4 linked regions of the Arabidopsis thaliana genome follow. The protein of the gene in region 2 binds, or shares a complex with, the protein of the main gene of each other region. Each region holds a gene or a part of one and is shown on either strand. Other genes may lie near its edges.

Region 1 (5,933 bases), on a different chromosome or scaffold from region 2:
GGACCTACAGATCATTCACCAGCATAGGGAATGCAGATAATAGTTTCTTGATTATTATTATGATCAGTAACAGAAGCGGGAAAATTACCTCCCCGAAAGGTAAAGCATCGTTCTCAAAGAAGTCACCAAAGTCTCCAAACTCTGAAAGAAGTGCCTTGATATCCATGCCAACTTCTCTGTCATCATCATCATCATCAGCATCCCAATCCCAACCAATTTGATCATTTTCAATGCCTGGAACACCAGTTTATTAGTTTTAGTGGAAACAAATCCTGACATATATGCTTCTTGAATAGGTGCATCAGTGACAGTACCTACTTGACCGAATGACTCTGCCATCCCTGTTCGCGGCCGCTTGGAACCCTGTAAAGAATGTTATGTTACTTATTGGTTAGCTTCGTGAATTATTATAAAATAAGGAAAACTACATTATATGATGTTGATTAAGCATGTTAGTGCTACAATCGACAATTCAATTTCCTCATCAGTACCATGCAAACTCCATCCCTTCCATAGATAAAAGTCGTACCATTTTTAGGCGATCATCATTACAAGTAAGACCAGATTGCCTACACGTCAAAGAATCTGCATCAGCGTCAAGATCACCAGTTCTTGACGTCATCCTCCAGCCGCTCCCGCTGGAAGCGCTACTTGTTGAACTAATGCTGCTATTACGGCTACTACCACTGCTATTGTAACCATTTTTTTCATAAAACCCATCACTCTTATTTTCAGACGCACCAAGGCAGTCAAAATCACCAGCCCTGCATAAAATAAAGTTCACATATACAGGGATCATGGACAGACTGTTATAATGAAAAACAAAATCGTTACGTATAACATTGGAACAAAACTCGGAAATGCCACAGCTCTCACTCCTATGGTGCTTCAAATAATGAAGATTACAAAACATTCGGTTTCTCAGAACAGTTTGGGCATTTCAAGACCTCTGTTTTGTGGATTTCTTTTGATCTTCAAATGTCGACGAGATAGATGAAAAAGACTCACCAGTGCATAAACAAAGATGAGCCTGCTAGTGACGGGCCTATCCAGTTTTGAAGCCAAAATCTGCAAGTATGATTTCACCTTGCATCAGCTCCAAGCTGAGGAAAGATCACAACTATTACATCTATTTAACATGGGTCTGAAACAATTACTAAAACTTCCACTACGATCACACAGAGTCAATTTGTTTTAATACATACATGGAATTCAACAGAAACGAAATAAATTTTATGTATAGCCAATCTGGATCTTACCGTTAAGTACTCAATGAATTCTAAATAACCACCTCACCTAGTCAATTTACCTTTTCAAAGAAAATTTCGCAAATGCCGACTGTAAGATTGGTACAAGCACTGCCTCAGCTGGATAGATGAACTTTTTTTCACAAACTGATGAAAGATCTGATTGTCCTTTACGGTGATCTTTACTCCCAACTGAAGGTTCAGGACACTGGTTATGGGGCAAGTTAACTGCAAAGGTCGAATTAGCTTGACTTGTGTTGTCATTTCTATTTTGGCAGCAACCAAGTGTAACTTCCACGTAGCAATGATTGCCATTTATCAGACGGGACCCACGACCAATATGAGAAGGGAGACCAACATATCCAGTCGAAGTTTTTAAGTTTCCAGAACTGTGTGAGAAAAAAGTATTAGTTGAGAAAATTGGATTAATCAGATTAACGGCTACGCACTCACAAAAAATGTTGACTTGGCATTCGAAAGCAAAGGTATGAAATGTACCTGAAGTAGACTTGCTTGACAAGGTCATTGGGACAGAATCCAGTAAGGCTGCCCCGCATTCCATGAGGAGAAACAATAACTGGTGGGAATAACATAGGCCTGTGAGAAGTGTTTCTATCAAATAAAAAGCTCTTATCTTTCTTTAAGCATGTGTAGAAGGCGGATTTCATTTCAGGTATCAATTCAAAAAGTTTGGCTTCATAGAATTACATGTAGCATAATCTATTATCCTCACTCTTGGCCAATCCCAAACATTTACGAAAAGCTCTTGTGACATGCAAAAAAATGAGGTGTTAAATCTTTGCTTGATGAAGCTAGGTAGCAGTAGCACTAGACTACACTAGGTTTCTTTTTGGAGTGGATGCATTGAAAATTGAGTTCAAAATGCTCTCAATCTATACAGTATTCTAACAGTACAAAGCAAGAAGAGGTCAACAAACATCTAGAACTAGTTCCATCAAAATCGTAGACAAGTAGGATAATTTATCAATCCAAATGATGATGGAAAAATAACTAACCTGGAAGCCTATAACTGGAGTTTTTCAAAGAACTCCTTAACATTCTTTCAGCATCGCCACTTGAAAGTGTGCGGACATTCCTTCGTGCATAAAATATTATAGTTAGTTTCAATAACTATGTGAAGCACTAAACCATAACTGAAACAGTATAACAAAAAGCTTTACGGACTTGGCAGATATAATGACATGGACAAAAACTGCCTCTTCGGTAGCAGCAAAGATGAATTCAACAGTAGGCTGTCCCCTCCTACATAAATATCCACAGAGCATTAGCGAGCCACAGAGCATTAGCGAGCCACAGACCTAATCATAGAATTCTTTGGATTCTAAGAATTACACTCAGGAAACCTAGGTCTCACAGACCCTATTTAATGAAAGCTATAGGATAATACATAATCGAAAAGCCATAGAGAAAAAAGACGATATATTTGCTAATAAACCATCAGAGATTATAACGCATGGTCTCGCTTATATTGGTAAGAGGTTGCAGATACCTCAAATATTCTTCGCTTTGAGGGCTGAATTTTGAAAACACATCTCCAAATCTCATGTAGGAAATTCCAGATAATGCTCTGTGGCGATATCAAACAAGTTAATATGATACTCTAATCCATTATTTCCTTAATCCAACCATTATGTCTGCAGATAATAAAAAACTAACCTTTCGATGCAATTACGTAAAGACTGTGAAAAGGCAACTGATATCTCTTCAGAGTCCCCAGGTGCTACCCAAATTCCTGACGCAACAACTTTCAACAGGAGAAAAAGAAAAGTAAGGACAAGTATACCAAGATAACCATAGACCACAGGCATGTTCACTAAACAGTCATAATCAGAATAGAGACAATATGTTTGAATCTATTGAGGCGACAAAATACGATGAAGAAAATAAATCATAAGGAGAATATACCTCTAAGCTTTGACACAGCAGCCTGAGCTTTATCAGATATTGATGAATGACGCCCAGGTAGAAAAAGCCAAAGCTTAATCTTTTCATCTGAGCAGCAGCGAGGAATGATGGTTAGATACAACTGTAAATAAAGTTACAAAATTTAAAAGTACCAGATTGAGATTTAGCATTACCAGGGTTGTATAAACCTTGAGATGGATCCCAAGGTCCAACAAAAGAATTGGTCCAAGTGGTAAGAAACCCTTCCTTCTGCAACCGTAGATGAGAGGAAAGTACAAGATATGTTGCAACTTCATTCTGCTCAGCTCTTGAACTGAAAAAAAAACTCCAGAGTGACCAGACTAATTAGTACAATGTCAATAAGGAAAAACTAAAACAACCCATTGAAAAAGCTTAAAGCTTTAACCTTCTATCAAAGCCAGGATTCAGCTCAGTTTCACTTGGAAGAAACTGAAACCAAGAAACATTATGTAGACCACCCTGTAGAAGAAAAATCATCATGTATTACCAATAAGTCAATTTTCACACACAATGGGAAAAAGATGATAGAATAAGACTTACAATTCTGAAAACATTAGTCCACATCACTTGGGGATAGATACAACAAGTTCAATCCTTTTTTTTCTTCAAATTATAGGCTATAACCCCAAAATCATCGTCTTGAAGCGCTCGGAATTGGAAGACGTTGTCAATTTCTAGCTCGATCTTCTCTTGATGTTGCGAGGTTTATATCTCTCTTTTGATCAAAACTCTTCAATACATCATAATCATCTCAACACGAAATCTCTCGTGGTTTTCATAAAACCAGATCCAAACGCGCTCTTTAGGGTTCTTTTTTTTTTGTTGCTCTTACTAATTCTTTTTTTTTCTGTGGCCCAATTTGTTTTAGTCAGGCCCAATTCATTATTTTCACAACACTCTGGTTCAAAAAAAAAAACCGCCAACCACAAGCATCATAAAAGAGTTTCCTCCAAATAAGGTGTTTAATATCAAGTGTTTTTGAAGTTTTGGTATTAAGATCTCATTCTTTCGAGTTTGTTTGACTTGCATCAATCAAATGAACCAAACAATGCTATGGTTTTACTTTATATTTTCTAGATTTTGTATACCACGATATAGCTAGACCTCGAATGATCTTAACGCTATCTTTGTATCGTTGGGTGCGGCTAGTTGTCTTCTGGTTCCATAGGTCATTCGTGGTGATACTATTCAGATGTCTCAAAGCCTTATGGGATGTATGAGTATCGTCCGAAATATTTTTACAAATTTAAACAAAAGATAATCTTGAGGAAAATTAAGATTATAATCTGATATGAAATATATACACCAAACACAAACACAAACATAACAAAGTCAAAGTGTTTAGTCATGTAAATGTGAATCAGGCTAGAGAATTCAAGGACCGGTAGATTTGATTTAATCGGTTTTCTTATTTGGACCGAGCAGTACCCAATCATGTGTAGATCAACTACTACTCAGCAGATCTTATTTTATTCTAGTTAAACTTAAGATCAAGGCTTTATATTCGACTTCGTAAGGATAGTAGTTCTTGCTTAATCTGATCTCTCAAGACTCTTCTCAGTAGCTTGCTAGAAGCTGTTCTTGGAAACTCCGGCACAATCTTCACAAAACTCACCTGCAATATTTTTGCAAAATCCATTTTTAAGCACACAAAAAATCTTATAATAACTTTGAATTTATAGAAAAACTCATCAAAGATATTGATTACCTTGAAGAGAGGATTAAGATCTTTTTGAATGGTTCTTGAAAATTTCATCTTTAGCTCTTCTCCACTCTGTTGCTTGAACCCTTCTTTCAAGACTGCGAATATGACCAGCAACTCTGGACCACCGTTAGGTGGTGTTAAGGTGACTGCAGCTGTCTCAGAGATGCACTCATCAGCTTGATCACACACACGTTCGATCTCAATAGAACTCGTCTGCGTTATAACAGATAAACAAAAGATGAAAACTTGAGAAAAGTTCCAACTCTAATCGAAGTTGGGTATATAGACATACAATGTATGTAGTACCTTAATGCCTCCAAGGTTCATGGTATCATCAGCTCTACCTTGAACATTGTAATATCCTCCAACAGTTCGCTTCACAATGTCACCGTGTCTTCTAAGTCGCTGCAGAACGCAACAGAACAGAGGAATCGTTTAACTGACGTAAGTTTGCAATTTTGTTTAGATGTAAATATAGAAGTTCTAAAACTACTCACTGTTTCCTTATACATGGGCATTCCCTTGAAGTAAACCTCGTCGTGATTTGCATTCAGAAGTCTATCCGTGGCCCCAAGGTGCTGGGGGAACAAACCGACTTCTCCAGTACATGGTTGATCATCCGGCTGCAAAAACCAGTCTACATCAATCTCTGGATATTCTAAGAAAATACTCCAAATGTCTAAAGTTTCAGTTTGTCACATATGGGACGCCATTTTCATCGAAGATGATGATTCTAGTTGTCATGGATGGTGTGCTAAACGCTCCAAAAGCCTGCGGTTGAAGAGGGCTTCCTATGATGTATGACGAAGCAAGTTCCGTGCCTCCACAGCATTCGATCACAGGTTTGTAATCAGCTTTAGAAGAAAGCCAGAGAACATCGTCAACATTGGAAGCTTCTCCTGTAGTGGCGAAAAACCTAACAAAACACAACAGCTTCTAAGTTAAAATTTCTCGTATAAACCCGAAAACAAAACAAGGTTTGTTGCTCCTTACTTAATCTTTGTCCAATTAAGCCCTTCCATACAGTTTGTTCT
Region 2 (4,725 bases):
TGAAGAACTGTGAAGGTACTTGCTAAGTATTATTTACAAAATATATGCATGTGGTCTACTTGCATATATAAAGAGCTCTATGTCGATTTATTTAGTAGGCATCACTAGTAACATGCTATTAGCCTATTGTTTATATGCATGCATGTCGGTCTAGAATATTTAGTGCAGATACACAATTATCAGTGGAATTTTTTATTGTACTCAATCAAAGAAGTGAGATCATTGTTAAACGTCAAATTCAAATTCATAATCATATTCTTTTGATTGAATGTGTTAGATGTGGACGAGTGCAAAGAAAAAACGGTGTGCCAGTGCCCAGAGTGTAAATGTAAAAACACTTGGGGAAGTTATGAATGCAGCTGCAGCAACGGTTTGCTTTACATGCGTGAGCACGACACTTGCATAGGTAAAAGAAATAGATCTTCCTTCCTCCTAGCCCCATACTTAATTTGGAGTCATTAATCAGACTTTCTGCTTTTGAATCTGGTGAATGTGTAGGTTCAGGCAAAGTTGGAACCACAAAACTCAGCTGGAGCTTTTTGTGGATCCTTATAATCGGGGTGGGTGTTGCAGGTCTTTCTGGATATGCAGTCTACAAATACAGAATCAGGGTATACGATGTTCTTTACTCTGGTCTTGTTATCATATTAAAACATAGGAAGATTTTGCGGTCTAGATAGAGATGCTAAGTAACAATTGAAATTATGCAGAGTTACATGGATGCGGAAATTAGAGGGATCATGGCACAGTACATGCCATTGGAAAGTCAACCACCCAACACAAGTGGTCACCATATGGATATATGAGTGAAGTTATCAACACAAGCCAAGAGACTCTCTCTCTTTCTATGAGTAGCTTTAAGTTTCCATGTAAATGAATCAATGGACTTGATACAACTCTAGAGAAAAGAAAAAAGCCACAAACAGAAATAAGTGTACCTGCACTATTTGTAAGAAATGTGGATTTGCAGATGGAATCTCCTTTTTGTCTGCATATTACTCTTACAATGTAAAATAGACATAACTGGATGAATAATGAGTGTTACATTATTTACTGTTGAAACTAACTTAAGATCCATAAGAAGAAAAACAATAAACTTTGATTGAGAGATTGTTAAACTTTCTCCAGCTCATCTCTGTGTTTCTCAATCTGTTCTTTCACAAGCTTCTGCGACTCTTGGAAAAGCCTCATGTGCTTCTTTATAAGCTCATCTTTTGTCTTAAGCTCTTCCTCCATTACTGCAATATCCTGTTAAGAACAGAACAGAAGAGAGCAGAAACTGGTAAGACAATATGTGTTTGGAGTTTTCACATTGGTAAATCAAACCACACCTTCTTAAGGCTTTCAGCTCTCGAGGGCGCGCGATCTTCTCGCTTTAGTCCCATGAAGTAAAGCTGAAGCTTTTTCGCAGCTTCCATGAAATCTCTGGCGTGCCGCTCCACATCAACTGCAGCAGTTCAATGAGGGGAATTAAGCTAGAACATCGAATATGGAATCAAAGCTTCGGTTTCAACTGAATTCTAAGCACAAAATTCACTGAGATCATAAGTTAAGCACAAAAACAAACACAACTTCCAAACTATCATTCAAACTAAAACCCTAGAATGGTGAAATTGGAGAGTAGAAAAGGGACTGACTTTGATGAGAAGGGTGAGGAGAGCGATCGATGGCCTGAAGCTCTCTCGCCGGCAAACATGGTAACAGAGCAGCTTCCAAGGCTGTGACGCAAGCCATAATGTCCTCTATGTCATTATTCTGATTGTTCGAGGGGGTCTCCGGTGATCTGATTCCCGGTGGACGGTCAGGCGGTGACGGCGAAGGGTCAGAAGACTGCGGCGGCTTTTGCTGATAATCCATTCACGCCGATCTCGATCTCTCTTTCTCTCTGCTTGTTTGTTTGCCCATAAGGTTTAGTGAAAAATATTATAATGGGGGCCCATTTACTGGATTTAATTTGGGCTTATTGGGCCTTTTCCACATTCTTAATTGTTCTTAAGAATATCATTTTGATGTAATTAATTGAAAACACTGAAAATTCATTTTTAATAAATATATGAAGTAAATCATTTATTTCATATGAAAAAACAATAGTAAGGAGAAGGAACAACATTTTCTGATACTTTACTCTTGATTTGATGTCACAAGATATAACAGATGATGGCTTTTGTAACAAATTTTGATTCCTTATGTAACTTTTTATCTCCATCAAATTAGATAAGTTACATCCTTACTTAAAGATTTTTTAGCTATGGATTTTCTAATGAAATTTGTAAAATGAGTAAGCGATTGACTAAATACTGTAACCATTCTCTTCATTATCAGTGAAAATAGCTTTTAACACATCTCTCATTCTCTTCCTTCTGATTCACAATCATCCATGTGAAAAGATGACAACAAAAACCTTAGATAGAGAACTCACACATTAGTTACAGAAGAAAGATTCTCATTTACTACTACATAAGGAAGTACGGAACATATGATCAGACATCAAGCTTCCCGGTCGGAGAAAGTCTGCTACTCCGGTATTTAGGAGACAAGTTAACAAACTCCAAAGCCTGTGTTCTGAGCTGAACCGGATAATCAGCTGCACAACCGATTCTTGGACCAACTCCTGTCGACCATTTCAGTGACAACTGATGTCCCAATTGTAATGATCTTGACTGTTTCTTTGAGTTTATCCTTAGTAGCATAGATTTCTGCGGCACGTTAGCTTTTGGACTCCCAAGTCCACCTGAGAGTGTTCTCTGGTAGCTACTCCGTTTTGCCTCCTCAAGTGTTCCCACTGTTCCGTTACCGTTCTCATCTGTTTCAGTCTCTGCTTGGAATGTTGTGTCCTCTTTCTTTAACGGTTCCGGTTCAGATCCTCCGTTGGATTTAACATAATCATCGTAGCTGTCAGAATCTTCACTAGCTTTATGCACCTACACATACATAGATATATTAGCTCTCAAGTAGTCTCTTTTTCTAAACAACCAAACTCTAGTTAATGATATCATTCACCAGCCAAGATTAGAACAAGGGCATTACCTCAACATTGTCTAGGTTCACTGCGTTCTCTCTGAGAAACCCGAGAAATGTGTCGAGACTATCGTCTGACGGCCTGTAATGTCCGCTATATGCAGAGATTGTCTGAGATTAAACCGAAAACAGAACGATCAAACAGAGAAATCACAGAAGGCAGACATAATAAAAAAGTTGATATGAATGAACATGTATCTCAACCACTCTAAGAAAAGGACGTGGCCTTAGTAAGTTACCTTGAGAACTCCATTGTCAACAATCACCCTCCCAGCAGCTAATGTAGCTCCTCCAGCCAAAAAGCTTGAGTGATGGAACCTTCCTTTCTTTTTCTGAAGTAAACATAAACAAAGAAAAGAACCATTAGAATCTTTTTCAATACTAATATCAATTCATCACCAATAGAAAGATATAACGGTTTTAACTTACCAGACCGGCATAGAGTTTCTTGAAAGTACTCATAACAAAGATCCATTTTGTTCCTTCCGATCCATGCATTGTGTGTAAGAACTTTCCAGTTAACTTGTGAACAATCTTCCCTTCTATGATCACATACTCATACTCTTCCCTCTCTTGCTGATACCAGAAAAGGCTTATATGAGAGAAATCCCAAAAACAAGTAAAACCAATATTGACATAAGAGAGGAAAAAATGGCACATACAGGTCCAAGATATCTAATGCATTGCTGCTTAAGCTTTGACCTCGGACATTCGTTAAGATCCAAATCTATCCCTCCTCCAACATCCAACCTGCCAAAAAAAAAAAACCCGGATATATCACAAAGTTATAGATAAGAATTATCACCTAAAAAAGATTCTTGAGCTACAAGAAAACACTAACTAAATGAACCTAAGATTTTAAGCATACCAGTAAAAGAATGGCTGACCAGCATCAGCTTTACACCATTCTTCATAGTATTTATGCAGGTTGTGTCCATACCGGTGTCTAGGATCAATCTGATTTTCAAATTTTCATATTATTAGTCTTCTTTTTACATTTAATCAGAATATAACACAAACAAATATTGAAATTTGTGGAAGAAAGGAATTACAGCTTCAATCCAATGCTGAAAGGCCAATTTCTGAGCTTTGTCGACTATAGACAGACCCTTCCCCACCTAAACCCATAACCAAACCACAAGATTACAAAACCAATAACCAAGTGGAGATCTTTTTCTTACAATAATATATATTTTGAGATATTTACATATACTTTTTTCTGAATTTTAATCAAAAGAAGACTCATTAGGGAAAATAAATAAATCACAAAGTTCAACTAGAAATTTTGTGAAAATATGTTTTTGATATTTTTGTGAAAAAAAGGCATACCTTAGAAGCATTCAAGCTAACACGGTTCCATCTAGAAACAGCAGTTTCAGGTCTCGAGTAATCGAAAAACGAAATCGTACTATGATTAAGCCTCGCATAATCCATCGCTTGCCACCTTTTGTTTTTTACCATCATTAATTTAACACGTTAATGACTCTAAAACATAATCTCTCCATTTAAATATCTAATTACAGTGTTTTAGTTGAAAAGGTTATAAATAATTACCAGAGCTCTTCGGCGACAACGACAGAGTCTGCTAATCTACGCCGCGTACGATAACTCCTGTAGACCTTCTGTACTTTCACCGCCGCCAATCTAGTCGAGTCATCACACGCGCCTTCAAGCGCGTCACCGTGTGAGGATAACTCTCGGTGGTCT
Region 3 (6,593 bases), on a different chromosome or scaffold from region 2:
ATTCTTACTCAAGGCCTTGGATTCTTCAAAGTCGACAGATCTTCAGAATAAGGCTGGGCAAGATTTCAGGGTCTTTCTAGATGAATGGAAACCTGTAATAATGGAACTCTCAAATAGAGAACCTGAGTTACTTTTGACTCTACTCAAGGAAGTCCTTGATATGATCCAAAATAATGAACGGAGAAGACATGAAACCGGTAACTATTGGTTTATCCTAAATGCTTTTTCTCTTAAGGATCCTCAGTTGAAACTTTAAATTGTTTTCAGATCGTTTCTAACATGTATGAATTGTATCTAAATTTGCATCTTACAGAAAAGCCAGTGGAAGAGGTTTCTCAAGTTGAGCAGGTCCCTTTCTTGTTTGCATGGCTTGTGAGTCTTCTCAATGGATCAAAGCATTTTCAGAGAAACAGTTCTCTAGAAGTGAAACCTCCAAGCATTTTCCTTATGGAACTTATACGTAGATGTCTTGTCTTGGGAGCCTTAGGATATGAGCTGGTTTTGAAATCAGCATTTCTACTCGCAGAGATTGTGGGAGGCCGTGTCTTAAAGGAGAAGCTCATAAAACTTCCTCTTATGCATAAAAGCTCTGCAATTGTTCCATTGAAACAGAGTTCTACTCTTGTAACAGCTAGTACAACGCTCCTTGAGCAAGAGAAGAATCTCGGTAATGCAGGCAAGAGACTTGAGTTCGTCAAACTTCAACTCTCAAAGAAGAAAGGTATTGACACAGACAAAACCGGTAACAGATGGAGAAAGGCAAAAACATGGAGCCCTTGTCCAATTGGTATGTTGCCTCGGATCATTGGATCTTCTGGACGTTTACCTCTTCTTGACAATCAGAATGCTAAGAGCATCTCAAAACAAGCACAAGGTAACAACAATGCGAAGAGAGGAGCTGAGTGTAATAGAAATCAATTGGAGAAATCGCCATGCAAGCGAGCAAGGAAGAGTGCAGGAGATTCTGAATCAAATGATGTGACATTGGAATCATACGAGGAAGAAGCTGAGATGGAAATAGAACATGCATATGAGGAAACTGAAACTGTAGCAGAAGAGAATCTGATGTGGAATGATGAAGAGGAAAGTAGAAGCTGCCTTATGATAGATGGTGAATGGAAAAGAGTAAATGATGGAGAACTCTCGGGGATGGCTTCTAGTGTTACAATTTGTGTTTGAGATTTCGACAGATGTAATCATATAATCCGACATATTTTTGAGAAAATAGTTCAGATATTTGATCAATTTTTACAGGCATAGTCGCAGACAGATAGACATTGTGACACTCAAGTAAAAGTAAATAAGTGGATTTGACAGTTACTTTTTCAACAACATCAATTGGTAAGTAAATTATTATACATGAATAGTAACGATTTGTGTTGTATTGAGTATATAGACAGAAAAGAGATGGAATAGAACACCCCAAGAAAAATGTTACAAATCTGACACCAAATCAATTATGATACTAAATTCTTCTTCTTCATTTCACAAATTTCCCCTTTCTTCTTCAAGGAATGAATTCACCAGTTTGGGCTTTTAACCTACAAAGCCAATCATTTTGTTCAACACAACTTGAAAATATAAGAAAGTAACAAAAATGTAAGCAATGATTTGTGTTAGCTGAGACTGTTCTATTTAGAAACACATCCTATCTTTGATATGTTCTTTCGACAGGTTACCCGATTTTCATTAGTTATGTATCACGGCAACTTTCTTAAGACCAGAAAAGAATCCAATACCAATACAGAAGTCGCACAGAGACACATACAATGTTCCCTTGCAAATGTTGCGTTATTTGGATTTCAGTAACTTAAAGAATACAACACAAAACTCAAGTATCTGCCTAAAAATATTATGGGTTCAGTTCCCCTAAAGTATAGTATCTGGACTATAACAGATGTATATGTTCTATGAAGGATCCCGGAATACCAAGAACACCGAAAAAATTGTACAAAAGAGACAGGACAGTACACAGATGCTTACCTAATAAGCTGTCTACAGTGAGTTGAAAAGTGCTTCTAAAGTCTCCATGACACCTACTCGAGTGCAGAATACAAAATTGGAATGTCTACAACTTTTTTAGCCAGCAACCCTTATTGCACCCACCTCATCAAGCTTTGAGCTTTTATGCTGCAACAGGTTCAATCAAGAGCTGAATCAATACAATTTATCAAAGACATATTACTAGTTCTCTAGCACCTTTGTGCAAAAAAAACATTATGGTGGAAATTTCATGTTGAGTGTTAATGAAGAACGAGAAAAATTTGAGGCCCCACTTCATTACCATTACCTTGTTTTTTTTGTGCCTCTGAACGTCATTAAGATCTTCATCTCCATCGTGTTTCCTTTTCTGAAATATAAGTGAAAAGGCTCCATAAAAACTCAATAAAATGTTCTAGAGCAGTCTCTAGATCTGCTAATTTCATGCCAAGCAGGTCAAAAAAGCAGCCTAACTCAAGAGCAACAAATACAAAACTTTCCATTAAGCTATTCTTCTTTGGAAAGACAGACACCTTCAACAAACAGACATGTTCTTTACCTTATCATGATGTTTCTTAGAATGATCACCCGAATCATGGTGGCCATTTTTGTCCTTCTTTCTGTCTCGGTCCTTGTCTTTATCTTTATCTTTGCTTCTATCTTTATGTTTGTGCTTGTGCTTCTTATGCTCTCTATCTTTGTCTTTATCCCTGTCCTTGTGTTTCTTATGTTTCCTGTCCCTATCTTTCGACTCACTTTTTGACTTAGACGGAATTGTAGGAGCTCCCTTCTCTGCCTGAAAGAAGAATAGTACCAAGGTCAATCATCTCCATAGGACACCCAGATGTAATTCACATTACTAGGGAAAGATTCTCAATTAACCAAAGAACTTGATGTTACAGGAAATAGGACATTCATTACTGAGCCAGTTTTTAAGTTCAATGTAATGGCAAATACTGTTACTCTTATGAAAAGAAGGACATTTAAAACTCAAAACACCAAGAGAGAGTGAGAAAGATCAGATTCTTACTGGGGGTAATTCAACAGGAGTCATATCATTTAGTTGGAAAGACTCCTGAAGCTCATCTATATCAAAAGGCTGGATGCGAATATTAGTCTCCCGGCTCTGTGATATGCTCTCAATAAGCTGATCTAATTGCATTCCTTCTCCTTTTCTGATCTCTGTGTCCCCAACCACATTATGAAGATAATGGGAATCTGATAAAGAAACAGGAAGAGATTTCTTGCAAAAGAATTCATGGTGTTGCACTAGTTTGAATTGAGATATAAGATCCGCAGCACCGCACAACTCTCTTGGACCTGCACTTGAAACAAACAACACATTGACCTCAAGGTGAGCCAAAGGGGAAAACAAAGGACAACGAGCTACAAAAAAAATAACTTCACGAACTGAAGAAGCTCCAAATTCGAAACCAATGTACCTCCAAATTTTAAACGTTCAGGCTCCATCTTCTCTATCGCACTCTGAATTTCTTTTGCATGATCACTGGCTCACTGCATATATATCCTACACAAGGAAACAAAAATCAGAAAAAGCATAGAGTGATAAGGAAATAATACTACTACAGAAAGCAAATTCAGCTTCGATACTATCTAAACTAACAATTCTGTAGCACAAACAATACAAAAGTTATAACTAAGCACCAGCTCATATTTCATAGTGACCAAAACTAAGAAGTAAGAAAATCTAATTTAGCATTAGATGCTATCAATTCTCAACTTTTCTGCTCCAAGCTCAAAAAAAATGAAACTAGCATCAGAAACAAAACCCTAGAAAGTTTTCGGAAGTTTGTAAAAGTAAAATTAGATACCAAGTCCATACATTTTGGATCTAGTCAACAAGAAAGTTTCATCAATTTGTTCTATTTAGGAATGAAGCTAACAAAAAAAAAATCAGACAAGCGAAGTAATCACTAGAAACGAAGATTAGACTCGATAAAAAAGCTTCAAGCAGAAGAGAAATTCGAAATTGAGGAATTTGGAATTCGAAAACGAAACAAGACAGAGCCCAATAGCAAAACCAAAATCTCAGATTCAATTGGTAGGAGAAAGAATCGAAACAATCAACATACACGTTTCTTTCGACAAGCCCAGATCTCGTTTGAGAAAGCTAGCTAACGAAAGCAGCGAAACGTGAGGGGGGAAGTGTTTGGGTCTTGGGCTTGGGTATCGAATTCCCGCCTAAAATTTTGATTTTAGCAAGTGATCGAGAAAGGACAGAGATCGAAGAAGGTTCGAGAGAGCGAAAAAGCGAGACTAGTTAGGGTTTGAGAGTCTTTTGTGTCTGATGACCAATGAGAGAGGAATTATTCTCTGTTTTCTTCCGTTGGCTTCTCTCTCAATATAATCAACAAATTACAGTCAGCCTTTTTTTATTATTATTCAAGGGCTCCGCGTGGGCTTCACGCGCTCCTTCAACACGGCCCACTTAACCAGACAAATCAAGGATCTTCCATTAGCTAAACCGTATTCGAACCGAGTAATGAATCTCTCTTTAACCGGTGGTACTCTTATCCAAACAAAAATATCCACGACTATTTATATCCGATTTAGATTGTTATCTCTTTCTATATTTTTTATTTACTTGAGTGAAAAACATGAATTGTTATTCTAAAAAACCATTATAAGACCGAAAATTATCAAAACATAAATAATGTAAGTTTTCAGTGTTTTGGGTTGGTCGGACAGGTCTAATCCGATCGAGACATGCCTAACAATATCTTCTACAATTTAAGATGAAACATACGATGAATACATACGTGTATATTTGCTGATATAACATCAGAGACAAAGTGCTTGACGAGAACAAAATGGAATAATGGTATTTTTGGGGATTTGAGTTTGTATACCTGCTCTCTACTATGTAAATGATGATTTGTCTGCTGTAAAATAAATGGGAATATAATATATAAAAACGTGATGACTGATGAGGATATATTGAGGTACATATCACATATGGTGTTTCTTGACAAATATTGGACGTAAGTCTTTGTTTTTTCTTCTATAAACTTTCAGCTTGATTTCTTAAAAACATTTGTTGCACAAGTTGTAAATACGTTTATCGAAGGTAGAAGATGCATATTGGAGAATCATATCCATATATGTATCATGTATGTAATTTAGTTCTTGTGATACTGTTTTCTTTATTCTCTTTCTTAACTCATAATAAAGTAAAATTAAAAAAAAAAAAGTAATCTTAGAAAGACTAAAAAACGAGAAGCAAATATAGATATACAACATTTATATAAAATGGAGAGGAAGAAGATTCAAGTGGTAAGTGGATTTTTTCATGTGTGTGAGTGAGTGTAAATGTGGGTGAAGAAAAAGGGAGTGAAGACAACATCATTTTCCCCAAAGAAAGCTAAGTCTTAGAATCATCACTCCAATTCCCTTTTTGGCCCCTTCTTCTCTCTTTTCTATTTCTTTCTACTTTTGACCCCCTTCACATAATTACCTTCCTCTATATGCTTTATTATCACACCCTCATTACTCTCTAAAACTAACCACTATAAGTATATTATTAACCACACTAATTACTACCACTTGACCTAGTAATCCCAGCTAAGACCTTTGGAAATGATTCAACACACAAAAAAAACTTTCGTTAAAAATTAATGATATATATATTTACAAACCTCTATCTAGTTTCTCTTCTCTTTATTTGTAGAAAGTGGTGGAGAATAAGAAAGGGAGAGCAACAAACTTTTAGAGGAAGTCATAGGTTAAAAGCCCCATAGCTTTTTCTTCCATCACTTTCATTCCTCTCTTCTCATTCTTACAGACTTTGAGAGAGAATTTATTTAAGAGATCTTGATCAGATCTTTTATACTTGCAAAAATCGATTCTAAATATATAATCTATACCTTATAGAGAAACTCTTCATATCTTGAAGATTCCTAAGAGATGGGAAATTACTACTCTAGAAGAAAATCTAGGAAACACATCACTACAGTTGCCTTGATCATCCTTCTTCTTCTTTTGTTTCTGTTTCTTTACGCTAAAGCTTCATCGTCTTCTCCTAATATACATCATCACTCAACTCATGGAAGCTTGAAGAAATCTGGAAATTTGGATCCAAAGCTTCATGATCTTGACTCCAATGCTGCGTCATCAAGAGGATCAAAATATACTAATTATGAAGGTGGTGGTGAAGATGTTTTTGAAGATGGCAAGAGAAGGGTCTTCACAGGTCCTAATCCATTGCACAATAGATAAATTTTTGCTTTTACAAGTTTTTGTGAATTTTTGTCTGAATAAAACTCATTTGTGCAAACACAAAAAACATATTTATTTACTTTTTTTCTTACACTGATGATATACACTATATCGTACGTTATATGCCGTGATTGTAACTTATGTGTTCTATGTGGTGGGATGAGATTGAAGAGTGTTGAACAACGAGTCTTTGAAAATAGTAACTACTGCTTCTCGGTTTTCTTGATTTAATAGTGTATCGATAACACGCATAATTATCTTTTGGAACCCTTGTTTTTGAATATGAAGCTGGTGGAATTCGTGTGGTGTGTGTGAATATCTTGATAATGATAAATGAACATCATTGTTAATGCCAAATGAAAAAAAAAAAAAACAAG
Region 4 (5,050 bases), on a different chromosome or scaffold from region 2:
CGCTAATCTTAAACTTCAAAGAAGCGGTTTTCGGAATGGAGAAAGAAATAGAGATATCCCGGCTCGAGAGCTGTGGGACATGTGAAGGTTCAGGTGCAAAACCTGGAACCAAACCGACCAAATGCACCACGTGTGGCGGACAAGGCCAAGTGGTTTCAGCAGCTAGAACTCCTCTGGGCGTGTTCCAACAAGTCATGACTTGCTCGTCCTGTAATGGCACTGGAGAGATCTCGACGCCGTGTGGTACTTGCTCTGGAGACGGACGCGTGAGGAAGACAAAACGGATAAGTCTCAAAGTACCAGCCGGGGTTGATTCAGGTAGCCGGTTGAGAGTGAGAGGAGAAGGCAATGCCGGGAAGAGAGGCGGATCACCAGGCGATCTGTTTGTTGTTATAGAAGTTATCCCAGACCCGATTTTGAAACGAGACGATACAAATATTCTCTACACTTGCAAGATATCGTATATCGATGCGATTTTAGGGACGACACTGAAAGTACCAACAGTGGATGGGACAGTAGATTTGAAAGTTCCAGCTGGGACACAACCTAGCACGACGCTTGTGATGGCGAAAAAAGGAGTTCCGGTATTGAACAAGAGTAATATGAGAGGAGATCAGTTGGTGAGAGTACAAGTGGAGATACCTAAGAGATTGAGCAAAGAGGAGAAAAAACTTATTGAAGAGCTTGCTGATATGAGCAAGAACAAGACTGCTAATAGCACCAGTAGATGATTAGAAACACGAAAATTTTGACATTGAAATTATGAATCTCTCTATACATATACATTTTTCTACTCTGGCTTGTGATATTTAGAATGGCTCTTGAAAAAAGAAGAAGCAAGTGGAGGAAGATGATTATTGTTGTGGAAATGGAAGAATTTTAGAATTCATTTTTTTGTGGTTCAAATTTTTAATATGTTAGGTTTTAATAGGCTTTCAAATTGGAATTTATTAGTGATTGAATGATAAATAAAATAGTATGTAATTCCACAAAGACATTCACATTATTTTAATCATGTTCGAAGCTTCATAAACTATCAATCTACTGACAAGTGACAACAATGAAACATCATAATACCAAAAGGTTGAGAGAAGAGCAAAGATCATATGCAAGTTGTGATTTATAAAGAATATTTATTAAAGATCCCTTACTGATTCTCATTAAATAATACTTAACTCTAATGGTTCACAAGATTTCACAACCATTGTGTAATCTGGAAAATTGACTAGATTGGACCAAAAGATCTAACAAGAGAGAACACAAGAACAGTTGTTTTTAACTTCAAACTTCTTACAATGTAGTACCTCCTCCATCCGACATAAGAGATGCAGCCGCCGCAGCAGCGGTTGGCACAACCCCCGTGGAGATAGACGGTTTCGACAAGTGAACAAGCCTGAAAACACAAGGAATCATATCACTGATGAAGCTTATATCAAAGACACTATCACAGGTGCTGTAAAATATATCAGATGAACTTACGGAGCAAGAAATTCACAGAAAGATGAAACAGCAGCAGCGACTTCACTGTAATTCTCAGAAGTTGCAGGAGCAGTTACATCAACAATCTGCATACCAGGTGTTACAGGAACAGCCTCATCTATAGCATGAACTTTAGGCATCTTATTAACAGAAGATACAGAAACACTTATGTGCGCAGTCCGTTGGAAATGAAAGGCGAATCCGACTTTGAGAAGCTCATGGTCTAGTTTGTAACCGAGTGCATAGAACATACGCAAAGCATTCTTGCTTACTTTACTTTCAATCATATTTCTAACCAAAACAGAGATTTGATCAGCTCCTGCACCTCTCATCGCACCACCAACATGTTTAACCGTCCTATGGTTCTTAAATTAGCTTCCTTTGAATGAAACAAGAACATATACAACAACAACAACAACAAGAAGAAGCTGTACCATGTGGGTTCGGGTTGATCAAGATCACATAATAGCCTAACTTCTGATGACACAACTCCTGAAAAAGTGAAGATTTCACAAATGTGAATCATGTATGATTCATAGGAAGCTTCAAGTTTCTGAATTTAACAAAAGGAATTGGCTTTACCAAGATTTGGGCCGCTTCTTAAGCATAACTCATGAACTCTTAAACGTTCGCGTTGAACACCACAAAGACCTTGAAGAAGAATCTCAAGAGCTTCAACATGCTGCAAAATCCAGTAGAAAATCTAATCAAATTCTAATAAAAATTCAAGCCTAGGGTTTATCAATTGGACATCATAAGAAAGCTAAAAGCTGATCCATGAACTCGAAAAACTTGGGATTTGTTCGTCAATCAAAAAATACAAACGAACCTGTGTCTCGATGATTCCTTGAACCACACACTCCATTGACATTGAGCTATCACAAAATCTCTCAATTAAAATCGTAAATATATTCTCAACAAGACCAAATCCGAAATTGGAAAAACTAACGAAAGCTTCCTAAATCGTCCTCGGGAGCGAATCTGAGATTTTTTAACACCGGAGAATTTTAGCTAGTTACTAGAATCACTTGTGTAGTTGTTATATAGTAGTTAGCTGTAGATAAAGCAAGATGGCCTATTAGCTCAGTTGGTTAGAGCGTCGTGCTAATAACGCGAAGGTCACAGGTTCGATCCCTGTATAGGCCATTTCGTTTTTTCTTGTTGCCCCTTTTTTGGGAACTCGATCATAATAAAAACTCTAGTGCATCTCGGTCATTGATTAGTGATCACCAAATAGCCCATTAGCTTAGTTGGCCGCATGATGAGAACATAACCACCGGTTAACCGGAGTAAACCGTCATTAGTTAGGTTGAAGATAGAATTTAGTTTGTGCTATCTTTGCTAAAAAGTTCATGAACCCTAACCTAATTAGTTGGCATTTTAAGAAGTCAACTAGTTTCGATAAAGTTTATGAACATAGCAAATGATATTTATATATGGTTATTTCATCTTGGTTGTGATTACTGTAAATGTCTACTAAGTAGAATGTGTTAATTCCTTATAATTGTTGACAAGAAATATGTAGAAAATTTTGTCAAAATTATTGCGATGTTGTGTAGATTAAGTGGCCACTACATCACCACAATCCTTTAAATTATTAGATAAAAAGTTCAAAAATAAGTCAAATAACCATGTTTACGAAAAGTTTGGAGGAGAATAGGAAAAATGTAAATATATTTATTTTAGCCTCAAACAATTCTTCTCTATTTCAATAGACGAATGAATCCTCAATTTTGCATTAACTAAACCATTTTAGTTTCTTCATTCGTCAATAATATCCTCAAGTGTGTAATCATGTTAATGCTCGTCTAATATACCGGTAACTCAAACCGGCCTCATTTTAACCTACCTCACCAAATTTGTAGAGGTAGCATAATACACGGGCCAAGTTGAATATCCAAGTTGATATTTATGCTTATAATGCATCATTTATGAATTGCCAATTGTCAAATGCCAAGCATGCTTTTGTGGGAAGGCTTATGAATTGTTTACAATGATACAAGATGCAAATGTAAAACCAAATATCATCAGGATATATTAATACAAGAGTCTATGGACTTGTTTCAGAGGATGAAAAATATAAAAACAAAAAGGTGTTCAACAAAAATAGGTCAAGCTTTGGGTTGTATCCAAGTTTATGTATTAGTGATCCGAGCAAGAGAACCTATCAATGCGATACACGTGTAGCAATCATTAATCAAATCCACGTATGACGACTTTGACTACCATACACTCTAGTACTCTCTACCGTAGAGGATTACATTTTAACCCTACGATTAGTTTAATCTCTCAGTCCACCGGAGAGTGTAAAAACAGCGAGAAAATCGACGTCGTTCGATCGCCGACTGCGAGCGAAGAAGAAGATGGCTGAAGAAGAGGTTGACTACGTATTCAAGGTTGTTTTGAACGGAGATTCAGCGGTTGGGAAGTCACAGCTACGAGCTCGGTTCACAAGAGACGAATTCAGTATGGATTCCAAAGCCACAATTCGGTGTCGATTTCAATACTCGAACGCTCGTTATTGACGATAAGAACATCAAAGCTCAGATCTGGGACATCGCAGGCCAGAAACGGTACTATATCCTTCTCCGATCTTAGTTCTATCTTCTCTGATTTAACAATGGATAAAATATTGCTTCGAACTCGATGATGTTACAGTGTTGCTGTTCAATTTCGATTTTGATCTTCGTGTGTACCTGAGAGTGACCTCATTTTGACTAGAGAGTAATCGACTCTTTTAGAAGTTGGACCATTAGTGTTGGAATTGTTCGATTTTGTTCTTCGGCAACATTGTAATGTGTTGTTATAGCATTCTCCTGAAGAATCAAATTATGTAGTGATGATCACATTCACATCCAAGTGGCTAATCATTGTGCATGGCATGTTTTCTCCATTGTACATAGCAATGTGGTTGGTTTGATTAGTGACATTCTTGTTCTTTTGCTGTGAGTAGACACAGAGCTATTACATAAGCCTACTACAAAGGTGCTGTTGGTGCAATGTTAGTTTACGATATGACAATACGTGAAAGCTTTGAGCACATTCCTCAGTGGTTGGAAGAACTACGAGTGCACGCGGATAAGAACATTGTCATCATCTTGATTGGTAACAAGACGGATTTAGAGAACCAGAGATCGGTTCCTGTGGAAGATGCCAAGGAATTTGCAGAGAAGGAAGGGCTTTTTTTCCTTGAGACTTCAGCACTAAACTCCACAAATGTCGAGAACTCTTTCAACACTCTCTTGACTGAGATCTTCAACAAGGTGAACAAGAAGAATCTCGCTAAGACCACCGTGTCTTGCAGCTCACAAGTCAGTCTTCTAAGACCACCGTGTGTTGCAGCTCAATAAGTCAGTCTTCTCGATTTGGTCCATTACAGTTTAGAATAAAATAAACCATTTCATATACTTCAAAAATATTGTTTTGATTTGGTTTTTAGATAGTGAGTTTTGTGTAGTGTACGTTGATTTTTAGAACAAAATCTTTCATTTTTTTTATGTCGTTCCAACAAAAGTCATCATGATTATGCTTATATGAAAAATAATTTGGAGGTAGTAAGGGAATAGTCAAA

Evidence for each region.
Region 1: AT3G52860 (region 2) and GCT share a complex: the UniProt entries of both Arabidopsis thaliana proteins name them as parts of the mediator complex.
Region 3: AT3G52860 (region 2) and MED19A share a complex: the UniProt entries of both Arabidopsis thaliana proteins name them as parts of the mediator complex.
Region 4: AT3G52860 (region 2) and AT2G22370 share a complex: the UniProt entries of both Arabidopsis thaliana proteins name them as parts of the mediator complex.

What each region holds. Positions count from the first base shown.
Region 1 is NC_003070.9:20,635,419-20,641,351, reverse strand, and holds the start of GCT (RNA polymerase II transcription mediator), read right to left. Parts: upstream 3,973-5,933; 5' UTR 3,759-3,972; coding exon 3,735-3,758; intron 3,654-3,734; coding exon 3,580-3,653; intron 3,487-3,579; coding exon 3,347-3,486; intron 3,261-3,346; coding exon 3,174-3,260; intron 3,013-3,173; coding exon 2,925-3,012; intron 2,836-2,924; coding exon 2,758-2,835; intron 2,511-2,757; coding exon 2,433-2,510; intron 2,344-2,432; coding exon 2,264-2,343; intron 2,011-2,263; coding exon of another isoform or gene 1,956-2,010; intron 1,860-1,955; coding exon of another isoform or gene 1,825-1,859; coding exon 1,746-1,824; intron 1,637-1,745; coding exon 1,310-1,636; intron 1,069-1,309; coding exon 1,009-1,068; intron 765-1,008; coding exon 530-764; intron 364-529; coding exon 315-363; intron 235-314; coding exon 89-234; intron 1-88. Other genes in the region: AAE18 (acyl-activating enzyme 18), read right to left, coding at 4,693-4,809, 4,903-5,112, 5,206-5,304, 5,397-5,522, 5,599-5,815, 5,893-5,933. UniProt on the Arabidopsis thaliana protein: Component of the Mediator complex, a coactivator involved in the regulated transcription of nearly all RNA polymerase II-dependent genes.
Region 2 is NC_003074.8:19,590,885-19,595,609, forward strand, and holds AT3G52860 (mediator of RNA polymerase II transcription subunit-like protein), read right to left. Parts: upstream 1,885-4,725; 5' UTR 1,858-1,884; coding exon 1,638-1,857; exon of another isoform or gene 1,448-1,637; coding exon 1,332-1,447; intron 1,249-1,331; coding exon 1,114-1,248; 3' UTR 964-1,113; downstream 1-963. Other genes in the region: VSR1 (vacuolar sorting receptor homolog 1), read left to right, coding at 1-15, 278-406, 499-611, 711-806; AT3G52870 (IQ calmodulin-binding motif family protein), read right to left, coding at 2,481-2,921, 3,028-3,129, 3,258-3,350, 3,448-3,594, 3,681-3,768, 3,887-3,975, 4,071-4,136, 4,348-4,462 and 1 more. UniProt on the Arabidopsis thaliana protein: Component of the Mediator complex, a coactivator involved in the regulated transcription of nearly all RNA polymerase II-dependent genes.
Region 3 is NC_003076.8:3,951,836-3,958,428, forward strand, and holds MED19A (mediator of RNA polymerase II transcription subunit 19a-like protein), read right to left. Parts: upstream 4,351-6,593; 5' UTR 4,074-4,350; intron 3,509-4,073; 5' UTR 3,451-3,508; coding exon 3,423-3,450; intron 3,301-3,422; coding exon 3,011-3,300; intron 2,777-3,010; coding exon 2,540-2,776; intron 2,351-2,539; coding exon 2,291-2,350; intron 2,131-2,290; coding exon 2,080-2,130; 3' UTR 1,984-2,079; intron 1,542-1,983; 3' UTR 1,305-1,541; downstream 1-1,304. Other genes in the region: AT5G12220 (las1-like family protein), read left to right, coding at 1-197, 314-1,179; CLE22 (CLAVATA3/ESR-RELATED 22), read left to right, coding at 5,905-6,216; AT5G12236 (uncharacterized protein), read left to right, coding at 6,313-6,447. UniProt on the Arabidopsis thaliana protein: Component of the Mediator complex, a coactivator involved in the regulated transcription of nearly all RNA polymerase II-dependent genes.
Region 4 is NC_003071.7:9,499,729-9,504,778, forward strand, and holds AT2G22370 (mediator of RNA polymerase II transcription subunit), read right to left. Parts: upstream 2,483-5,050; 5' UTR 2,351-2,482; coding exon 2,309-2,350; intron 2,162-2,308; coding exon 2,062-2,161; intron 1,972-2,061; coding exon 1,914-1,971; intron 1,837-1,913; coding exon 1,480-1,836; intron 1,394-1,479; coding exon 1,291-1,393; 3' UTR 1,056-1,290; downstream 1-1,055. Other genes in the region: AT2G22360 (DNAJ heat shock family protein), read left to right, coding at 1-731. UniProt on the Arabidopsis thaliana protein: Component of the Mediator complex, a coactivator involved in the regulated transcription of nearly all RNA polymerase II-dependent genes.